Canis lupus familiaris: one gene and its partner. Each later gene encodes a partner of the first gene's protein in a complex. Links are inferred from orthologs where the notes say so. Each region holds a gene or a part of one and is shown in the gene's direction. Other genes may lie near its edges.

What was found.
Region 2: PIGC (region 1) and PIGY share a complex: the UniProt entries of both Homo sapiens proteins name them as parts of the glycosylphosphatidylinositol-N-acetylglucosaminyltransferase (GPI-GnT) complex. The link is inferred for Canis lupus familiaris from reciprocal best matches to the Homo sapiens genes PIGC and PIGY.

Annotation. Positions count from the first base shown.
Region 1 is NC_049228.1:26,429,952-26,434,177, forward strand, and holds the start of PIGC (phosphatidylinositol N-acetylglucosaminyltransferase subunit C), read left to right. Parts: upstream 1-1,426; 5' UTR 1,427-1,548; exon of another isoform or gene 1,549-1,621; intron 1,622-1,879; exon of another isoform or gene 1,880-2,057; intron 2,058-2,194; exon of another isoform or gene 2,195-2,255; intron 2,256-2,815; exon of another isoform or gene 2,816-2,847; 5' UTR 2,848-3,065; coding exon 3,066-3,959; 3' UTR 3,960-4,226. Other genes in the region: C7H1orf105 (uncharacterized protein C1orf105 homolog), read right to left, coding at 384-469. UniProt on the Homo sapiens protein: Part of the glycosylphosphatidylinositol-N-acetylglucosaminyltransferase (GPI-GnT) complex that catalyzes the transfer of N-acetylglucosamine from UDP-N-acetylglucosamine to phosphatidylinositol and participates in the first step of GPI biosynthesis.
Region 2 is NC_049253.1:28,141,974-28,146,149, forward strand, and holds the start of PIGY (phosphatidylinositol N-acetylglucosaminyltransferase subunit Y), read left to right. Parts: upstream 1-1,376; 5' UTR 1,377-1,464; coding exon of another isoform or gene 1,465-1,667; intron 1,668-3,836; coding exon of another isoform or gene 3,837-3,978; 5' UTR 3,979-4,071; coding exon 4,072-4,176. Other genes in the region: PYURF (protein preY, mitochondrial), read left to right, coding at 1,465-1,667, 3,837-3,978. UniProt on the Homo sapiens protein: Part of the glycosylphosphatidylinositol-N-acetylglucosaminyltransferase (GPI-GnT) complex that catalyzes the transfer of N-acetylglucosamine from UDP-N-acetylglucosamine to phosphatidylinositol and participates in the first step of GPI biosynthesis.

The DNA of each region.
Region 1 (4,226 bases):
GCAGTCGCTCCTCTCTAAAGATTGCCATTTATGGGTCTAGACTTTTGATGGTTAAAATGAGAAAATTTCAAATTAAAGCAGAGGAGAAAAAGTAAGATGTAGAGGAGGATGGAAGTGTTCGGAGAGGTAGCATCCAGGGGCAAAATTCTTTTGTATTGTTGAGTGGTGGTTGTAGAGAGGGAGGTTCATTGAGATCTCCTCCCCCCTGCCAAGCCTATACTCAGTGCCTGCTTTTGTCTGAGAAACCCAGGCCATTTCTGGGCTTTGAGCACTCATCTTGAGTTTCTCAACTGACCAGATTTGCCCCTCTGATAACTGCCCCAGAAACCATCTTCTGTGACATCTTTCTCGAAACCTTTGGCTTCAGTGACTGAGTGATTTACCTTTTGGGGAGGCTGAGCACTAATGGCTTGTTTATGAGGCTGGCCTCGCTAAGCCAAGGAATCTTGCCAAATTTCGGAACAGAAACCTGGAAAGAAATGGAAAGAGATCATTCCGTGGAACTTATTGCATTTGAACATTGCCATCAAAACAATAACCAAAGTGAGCTAATGGCAGCTATATAAAAGTCAGCACTTTACAAAACATTTTTATGACGAGGGCCTTTTGAGTCTCCTATAAAGGATCCAAGAGCAAACAGTGTTATCTCCACTTTACAGATGAAGAAATCAGAGCTCAGGCGTTGTGATTTGCCAAGTCACACGGCTCATAGGTGGATTCAGGTTTTCTGACTTTCGTGCCCTCTATACCTGGCCTTCTACTCTACCTATCCCTTTGCTTCTTTATTACTTCCATCTGTTGGTGCACCTATGCAGCCGGCTGAATTATCAGCAGCCTCCCGTTCAGTCCCAGACTGTTTTCAGCCGCAGGGCCCTCCGCTCCCGATTCCTTCCAGGCACCAAAGAGGAATGAACAACACGCTGAAGCCGCGGACATGGCACGTTAATCTGTTAATCCACTTTCCAGCTGGTGGCTTTGGGACAGCTCACAAGGTCTCTGAGCCTCGGTTTTGTCCTCTTGGGAAGATATCATCACTTTCCAGGTCAACGCACAAGACAGAGAGCTGCAGGAGAGCAGGGATTTTCGGTTCCACTCACTGTGGTGTCAAGAGCCCCCCTAGGACAGTGCTCGCAGGTGCTCTCCGAATACCTGTCCAGCGAATGCACGGATGCGTGGCAAGTCCCCAGTTGAGGGCCTGACTGAGTAACAGGAGCGCCTAAGAGTCGGCTCTACAGTCTCTCTTTACCAGCCCAGCCTCTGTCCCCCGGCGTTCGGATCCCAAATAATCCAGCCTTTCGTTGCGGCGCTTGCTTTTTCCTAGGCTCCGAGCGGCGCGTCCTCGGGAGAGGAGCCGGGAGTTCCGCGGGTCGCCGGCAGGGGGCAGCAGCGACCCCCGCAGTTCCGCCGGCCGGGGAAAGGCGCTCTCGCCGCGGGGGGGGCGGACCCGGAAGTGCTCGGCCGGCGTCGCGAGCGCCGCGGAGCCCCGGATGGGAGCGGAAGTGGGCGGCCGCCTCCGTCCGGCCGCAGAGCCCCGGGAGCTGCGGGCAGGTGGGTCCTCGGGCGGGCGTCCGCGTTTCCGGGCCTCCTTGTCCTCCGCCACGCCCGCGCAGGCGCAAGGCCGGTGAGCGGCGGCCGCGGAGGGGGAGTGGGGCGTCCCCGGGGACACCTGGCCGACCCCGCGGGGGGGGGGGGCGGGGCGTTGCCCTGGGCGACGGCGGGAGCGCGCTGGGCTGGGGGCCCTGCGGCCGCCAACGGGGCTCCAGGGCGTCTGGCCGGTGCAGCCCAACTCGCCGTGGTCTCCGTGGAGGGAGTCAGGTCGGGCAGTAGGAGTCGCCTTCCCGGGCTTGCTGGAGGGAGGACTCGGGTCCTTCTGCCTCCTTCAGGTTTCCTTGTGGAGAAGGGGTCGTCGTCCGCGGGCCTCGCGAGAGTTTCCCGCCAGGACGCGAGCTCTTTAAAGGAGGTTAAGCTCGCGAGGTTCGTGGGTGAAGACCCTTGAGATTCTAAACCGGGAGCTCGTGCCTTTTTGTATTGTGCGGTTTACTGTTGTCTTTAGACTGGTACCTTTTCTTCTTCTTCTTCTTATTTTTTTTTTAAGATTTATTTATTCATGAGAAACAGAGAGAGGCAGAGACACAGGCAGAGGGAGAAGCAGGCTCCCTACCAGGGGCCCGATGCGGGACTCGATCCCGGGACCCCGGGATCACGACCTGAGCCAAAGGCAGACGCTCAACCGCTGAGCCACCCAGGCGTCACTGGTACCTTTTTCTTTTTTTTTTTTTCTCCTTTTTTGGTATAATGCCTTTGAGGTCTCCATCAATAAAAGCTCCGGATCCTATCCCTCGAAATTTGCACTAATTGCAGCCACAAGGATATGGTGACAGGGAGAGTGTTTTGGATGCTCTGGAGCCCATCCACAGACCTCAGGGATGTGTGAACCCCTGAGGGAGACATGACGTGAGGCTCAGGCTTCCGGGGAAAGACGTGGGCCTGAATTTGGCGCCACTGTTAATTTGGGCTAAAGTTGTCTGAGCAATCTGAATCTCAGGTATTTTTACTGATTAAAGTGGAGCTAATGCTGATTTGAAAGGAGAGGATTAAACGAAAGAAGCTCCAGAAGGCACCTGGCACATAGTAGGCGCTCAGAGAGTAATAGCTGACAGATGTCTGTTGTTATCTGTGGGATTATAATTAAAATCTGATGTGAAGTGTTAACGTCCATAATTATAAAACAGCCACCGCATGTATTTTTGCTCAGACTTTTAATAAACTGAATTAGTTTGATTTTTAACTCAGTCCTTCCCTTGACCTTTGACAGCTTTCCTAGGTTCATAGTCTCTCATTTTCCAGGAACTTGGCTGCATCATCCTGCCTCCGGGAACAAACTCTTCGAGTTGAGGCCTCGTCCGGGTTGCTGCCTTTGAAAGCAAGGGAAGGTCGGTACACTTTGAACCGCAACACAGCATGGAACTTCCAGAGAGGTCTTATTGCAAAACTGTGTAAAGAACAAGAACCACCTGGACTTCTGGAAGGGAGCTCAAACTGGCCTGAATTTGAAGGAGGGGATAATGTGTGCCCAACCTGTAACTGACACAAAGGAGATCAAGTGGCAGAAGGTCTTGTATGAGCGGCAGCCCTTTCCTGATAACTATGTGGACCGGCGTTTCCTGGAAGAGCTCCGGAAAAACATCTACGCCCGGAAGTACCAGTACTGGGCTGTGGTATTTGAGTCCAGTGTGGTGGTACAGCAGCTGTGCAGCGTTTGTGTTTTTGTGGTTATCTGGTGGTACATGGATGAGGGCCTCCTGGCGCCCCACTGGCTTTTTGGGACTGGCCTGGCTTCTTCACTGATTGGCTATGTTTTGTTTGATCTCATCGATGGAGGCGAAGGACGGAAAAAGAGCGGGCGGACCCGGTGGGCTGACTTGAAGAGTGCCCTCGTTTTCATTACTTTCACATATGGTTTTTCGCCAGTGCTGAAGACCCTGACAGAGTCTGTCAGCACCGATACCATCTATGCCATGTCAGTCTTTATGCTCTTGGGCCACCTCATTTTCTTTGACTATGGCGCCAACGCTGCCATTGTATCCAGCACACTGTCCTTGAACATGGCCATTTTTGCCTCTGTCTGCCTGGCGTCGCGCCTGCCCCGGTCCCTGCATGCTTTCATCATGGTGACATTTGCCATCCAGATTTTTGCCCTGTGGCCCATGTTACAGAAGAAACTGAAGGCATGTACTCCATGCAGCTACGTGGGAGTCACGTTGCTTTTCGCATTTTCAGCCTTGGGAGGTTTACTGTCCATTAGTGCTGTGGGAGCCATCCTCTTTGCCATTCTGCTGGTTTCCATCTCTTGTCTCTGCCCTTTCTACCTCATTCGCCTGCAGCTTTTTAAAGAAAACATTCATGGGCCTTGGGATGAGGCTGAAATCAAAGAAGACCTGTCCAGGTTTCTCAGCTAAGTTAGAGACTTCCATTCTGTTATTAAGGCAAGCTGATAGACTAGCCTCCCAACTAGTAGAAGACTCGAAGACAGTCCCATCCTGGAAACAACATACTGATGTGGGGGTAGGGGAACAGCAGTCAAAAGAAAGAACTAACCAAAGGCATGGGTGGTGAAGATGCTTGTCCTTTCTGTTATTTTGTGGATGAAAATGCTTTCTGGGGCCCTCCTCAATTCTTGCCTCTCATTTGCTGTAACAAATGAAGTGGTGTGGCTTCTATTTATT
Region 2 (4,176 bases), on another chromosome or scaffold:
GCATTAACTCAATTGTTAATTGTCCGGATCACTCTTCTAAATATTCTTTGCCTGCAAGATCCCATTTGAATGCCCACAAGGAGATTTCATGAGGTAGGTGCCATTATCTTATCATACAATAAAGAAACTGAGTGGGGGGATCCCTGGGTGGCGCAGCGGTTTGGCGCCTGCCTTTGGCCCAGGGCGCGATCCTGGAGACCCGGGATCGAATCCCACATCGGGCTCCCGGTGCATGGAGCCTGCTTCTCCCTCTGCCTGTGTCTCTGCCTCTCTCTCTCCTCTCTCTCTCTCTCTCGCTGATGACTATCATAAATAAATAAATTAATTTAAAAAAATTAAAAAAAAAAAAAAAGAAACTGGGTAAGTCGTTGGCTGGACTTACACAGCTAGTAAAGCACGGACCAGAAACCGAGCTGCCAGGCCCCAGAGCCCAACCCTTCCTTCATGGTAAGAAAGAGATCAAGCCTGAGACCACTTCCCTAGAGCACCAGATGCAAACCTGGCGCGGAAAATCCACTGAGCGGATTTGCCATCCAACTAAGGTACATCCACCCGCTTGGTTGCACAGTTGCTCAGACTCCTTGCTGTCACCAGCTCATTTATAAACTGGCTGCGCTTTATGATGCAGTTGAATTCACAGTAGAAGCTGGACTTCTGGGAGGTTAAGAGGCCTATGCTATTCTTTTCAGGCTCTAAAGTTTCTTTGTGTGTGTGTGTGTGTGTGTTTTAAGATTTTATGTATTTATTCATGAGAGACACACAGAGAGAGAGAGAGGCCGAGACACGGGCAGAGGGAGAAGCAGGCGCCCCGCGCGGAGCCTGATGCGGGACTCGATCCCAGGACCCGGGGTCAGGCCTGAGCTAGACTCTACCCCCTGACCTTGGGATCACGACCTCAGCCGAAGGCAGACGCTCATCCACTGAGCCACCCAGGGGCCCCTCAAGTTTTCATTTAATAAGAAAAGGGCGGGGAGGGGGGAAAGGTTACAGGTGCTATGGTAATTTACATAAAACAAATCCATGCTTTTAAGATACCCAATACGTGTTCGAAACCTCATTCTGGAGATGACCACGTAGGTGCAAGCTTAACCCTGTGGGACTCTGAGATCCGGCCACCGGCTTCCTGGCTCCCCTGCGATGAGCCCTGGTGAAAACCCAAAATGCCCCCAATTCAAGCCCTGGCTTTGTCAGTCATCGGTAAACGCGGCGAACAGCCACTGGAGCCCCGCGGCTACGGGCCCCGCCGTAACTACCGAGCGGTGGGCGGGAAGAAGCAGTCGCGTCAGCAGCGCCCCCGGAACCCAAGGGCTGCCTCCTGCCCGCCCGCCCGGGGACCGCATTCCCGCAGCACCGGGGGCGGGGCCTGGCGGGCGGCGGGGCCGGCTGCGCGGGGAGCGGCTGAAGCGGCGGAAGCGGCTGAAGCGGCCGGGCGCTGGCAGGGCGGCGGGTGCGGGCTGCCAGACCATGCTGAGCGGAGCGTGCGGCCGGCTCGCCTCAGCACTGCGGGGGCCGCGCGGGCCGTCGTTCGCGGTCGCCCGCAGGCGCCTTCACGCGTCGGGGTCGCGGCGGCCCTCAGACAAGAGCGAGAGGACGGGAGGCCCGCCCCGCGCCTTCGACCCGGCGCTGCTCGAGTTCCTGGTGTGCCCGCTCTCCAAGAAGCCGCTCAGGTGAGATTCCCGGCGGCCGGCCTCGGTTCGCGCGGCCGCTCACGGCCCTGGGGAGCCCTTCGGCTCGGGCCGGGGTTGCCCGCAGCCATTTTGTGGCCCCGGGCCCTGCGGCTACCAGGCTCCGCCCACTGCGGCGGGAAGGGCGGGGGAGGGGGGAGGCGGGCGCGAGCCGATCCCGGGCCGCTCGGATCCCACCGCCGAGGCGCGGCTGGAAGCCTTGGAAGGTTCCGCGCTGGCCGCGCGGTCGCCTCGCCGGGGGAACTTTTTTTTTTTTTTTTTTTTAAATGCCGATTCGGGTGCGCCGGCGCCGACCGACCCAGTCAGCCGGGCTGGGGGCCGGACTAGCGCGAGGCGTTTTCTTAAAAGGACCTAAGTGGTTCTCGCGCGCCGCCAGGTTTAGGAACTGTTGGGAGTCGGGACTGGCCCGTGGGTGTGAGGTTTTTAAGCCAAGATGGTGAAAAATGACTAAAAATTCTTATGGAAATCTACAGCTGATGCGTGACGGCCTTAAACACTTTTAAGCTGCGTGCGCTGCTGCGCCTTTGGCTCTTAGTTCTGGACGGGCTGGGTTTTGCAGAGTCGTAGGGTCTGTCTCCCTGGAATCCTTAGGGAAAACAGCTCAGGGAGGGGAAATAGAAGGAGACGGAATCAGAGAGGGAGACCAACTCTAGGAGACCGACGGAGGGTTGCTGGGGGTGGGGGGATGGGTGACCGGTGACGGGCATTAAGGAGGGCACTTGATGTCATGGGCACTGGGTGTTAGGTTCCACTGATGAAGCACTAAACTCTATCTCTGAACTAATTATACACTGTATGTTAATCAAATGAGGAAAGATTTTATTTATTCATGAGACACACACAGAGAGAGAGGCAGAGACACAGGCAGAGGGAGAAGCAGGCTCCATGCACTGGGAGCCCGACGTGGGACTCGATCCCGGGTCTCCAGGATCACGCCCTGGGCCGAAGGCGGCGCTAAACCGCTGCGCCACCGGGGCTGCCCGAGTTTAAATTTTTTTTTTTTTAAAAGAACTCTGCACCCCCAGGCTACTAAAACTGAACATTGACAACACTAGTTTTGCACCAGACTGTTATCAGTGGTTATTTTGGGTGGTGGATTGCTAGTCATTTTTTTTTTTTCAATCTTTCTACGTTTCTCTTAACGAGATGTTTTCCCATAATGAAGACACTCAATTTTCTTTTTTTTTTTTTTTAATTTTTATTTATTTATGATAGTTACACACACACAGAGAGAGAGAGAGAGGCGCAGAGACACAGGCAGAGGGAGAAGCAGGCTCCATGCACCGGGAGCCCGACGTGGGATTTGATCCCGGGTCTCCAGGATGGCGCCCTGGGCCAAAGGCAGGCGCTAAACCGCTGCGCCACCCAGGGATCCCCACTCAATTTTCTTATACCTTGAAATGACCATTTGATCTACCGTTTAGTTGTGTAACTAGCTGCAGATGCACTGTTTTCAGTTTCCTCGTTTCTGCTCTCTCCTCCTCAAACTTTTATTTTGTATATCTTGATTTTCAGTGGTTTCCTTCCAGTGGTTCAATTAGGTTGCTGTGTTAAGCGTGCATTCTAAAATAGTGGGGAATTTTAATTTTCCTCTAGTGGCTGTTTCAGTAGTAAATTAACTGGGATGGTTTTGGGGTTGACCAGAGTTAGGAAGGAATATTTTGATGAAAAGGGAAGATCTTCTAACTGGATTTTAAAAATACATATTAAGGTGTAGCTCGAGAATAAAATGAAAAAATACAAGAGAAACTGACCAAAATGCAAACAATTAGAGATTCATTTTCTAAGAGAAATGTTTCAGTTGGCTAATACTGTTTTTAGAATTAGAAGCAGTTTTTTATTTTTTTAAAGATCTTATTTATTCATGAGAGACCTACAGAGAGCCAGAGACACAGGCAGAGGTTGAGAAGCAGGCTCCATGCAGGGAGCCCGATGTGGGACTGGATCCCGGGACCCCAGAATCATGCCCTGGGCTGAAGACGGCACCAAACTGCTGAGCCACCCAGGCAACCCTAGAAGCAGTTTAATTCTACTTTTTTGGAATTTAACTCTCTGTCAAGAATTGGATAAATGGTGGTGTTTATTGAAGACCACGCACTTCTAAGCATTTTATTTTCCACAATTCATTTTGTTTTTCTTTTCCCCCCTCAGATATGAAGCATCGACAAATGAATTGATTAATGAAGAGTTGGGAATAGCCTATCCAATTATTGATGGGATTCCTAATATGATACCACAGGCAGCTAGGATGACACATCAGAATAAGAAGCAAGAAGAAACGGAGCAGCACTAGATCACAATTAAAAGCAACGCCTACAACTGCATTTTCTTAATACTACTTAATTTTTTAAAAGTCAGAGTGGCAGGTAATAAGCGGGGGAGAAGAATGTTTCTGTCTCTTCCTACGTTGACTGTCCTTATTCCATTGGTCTCTTTAGCAGGACTGTTCTACTCAGCTTCTGTGGAGGAAAACTTTCCACAGGGCTGCACT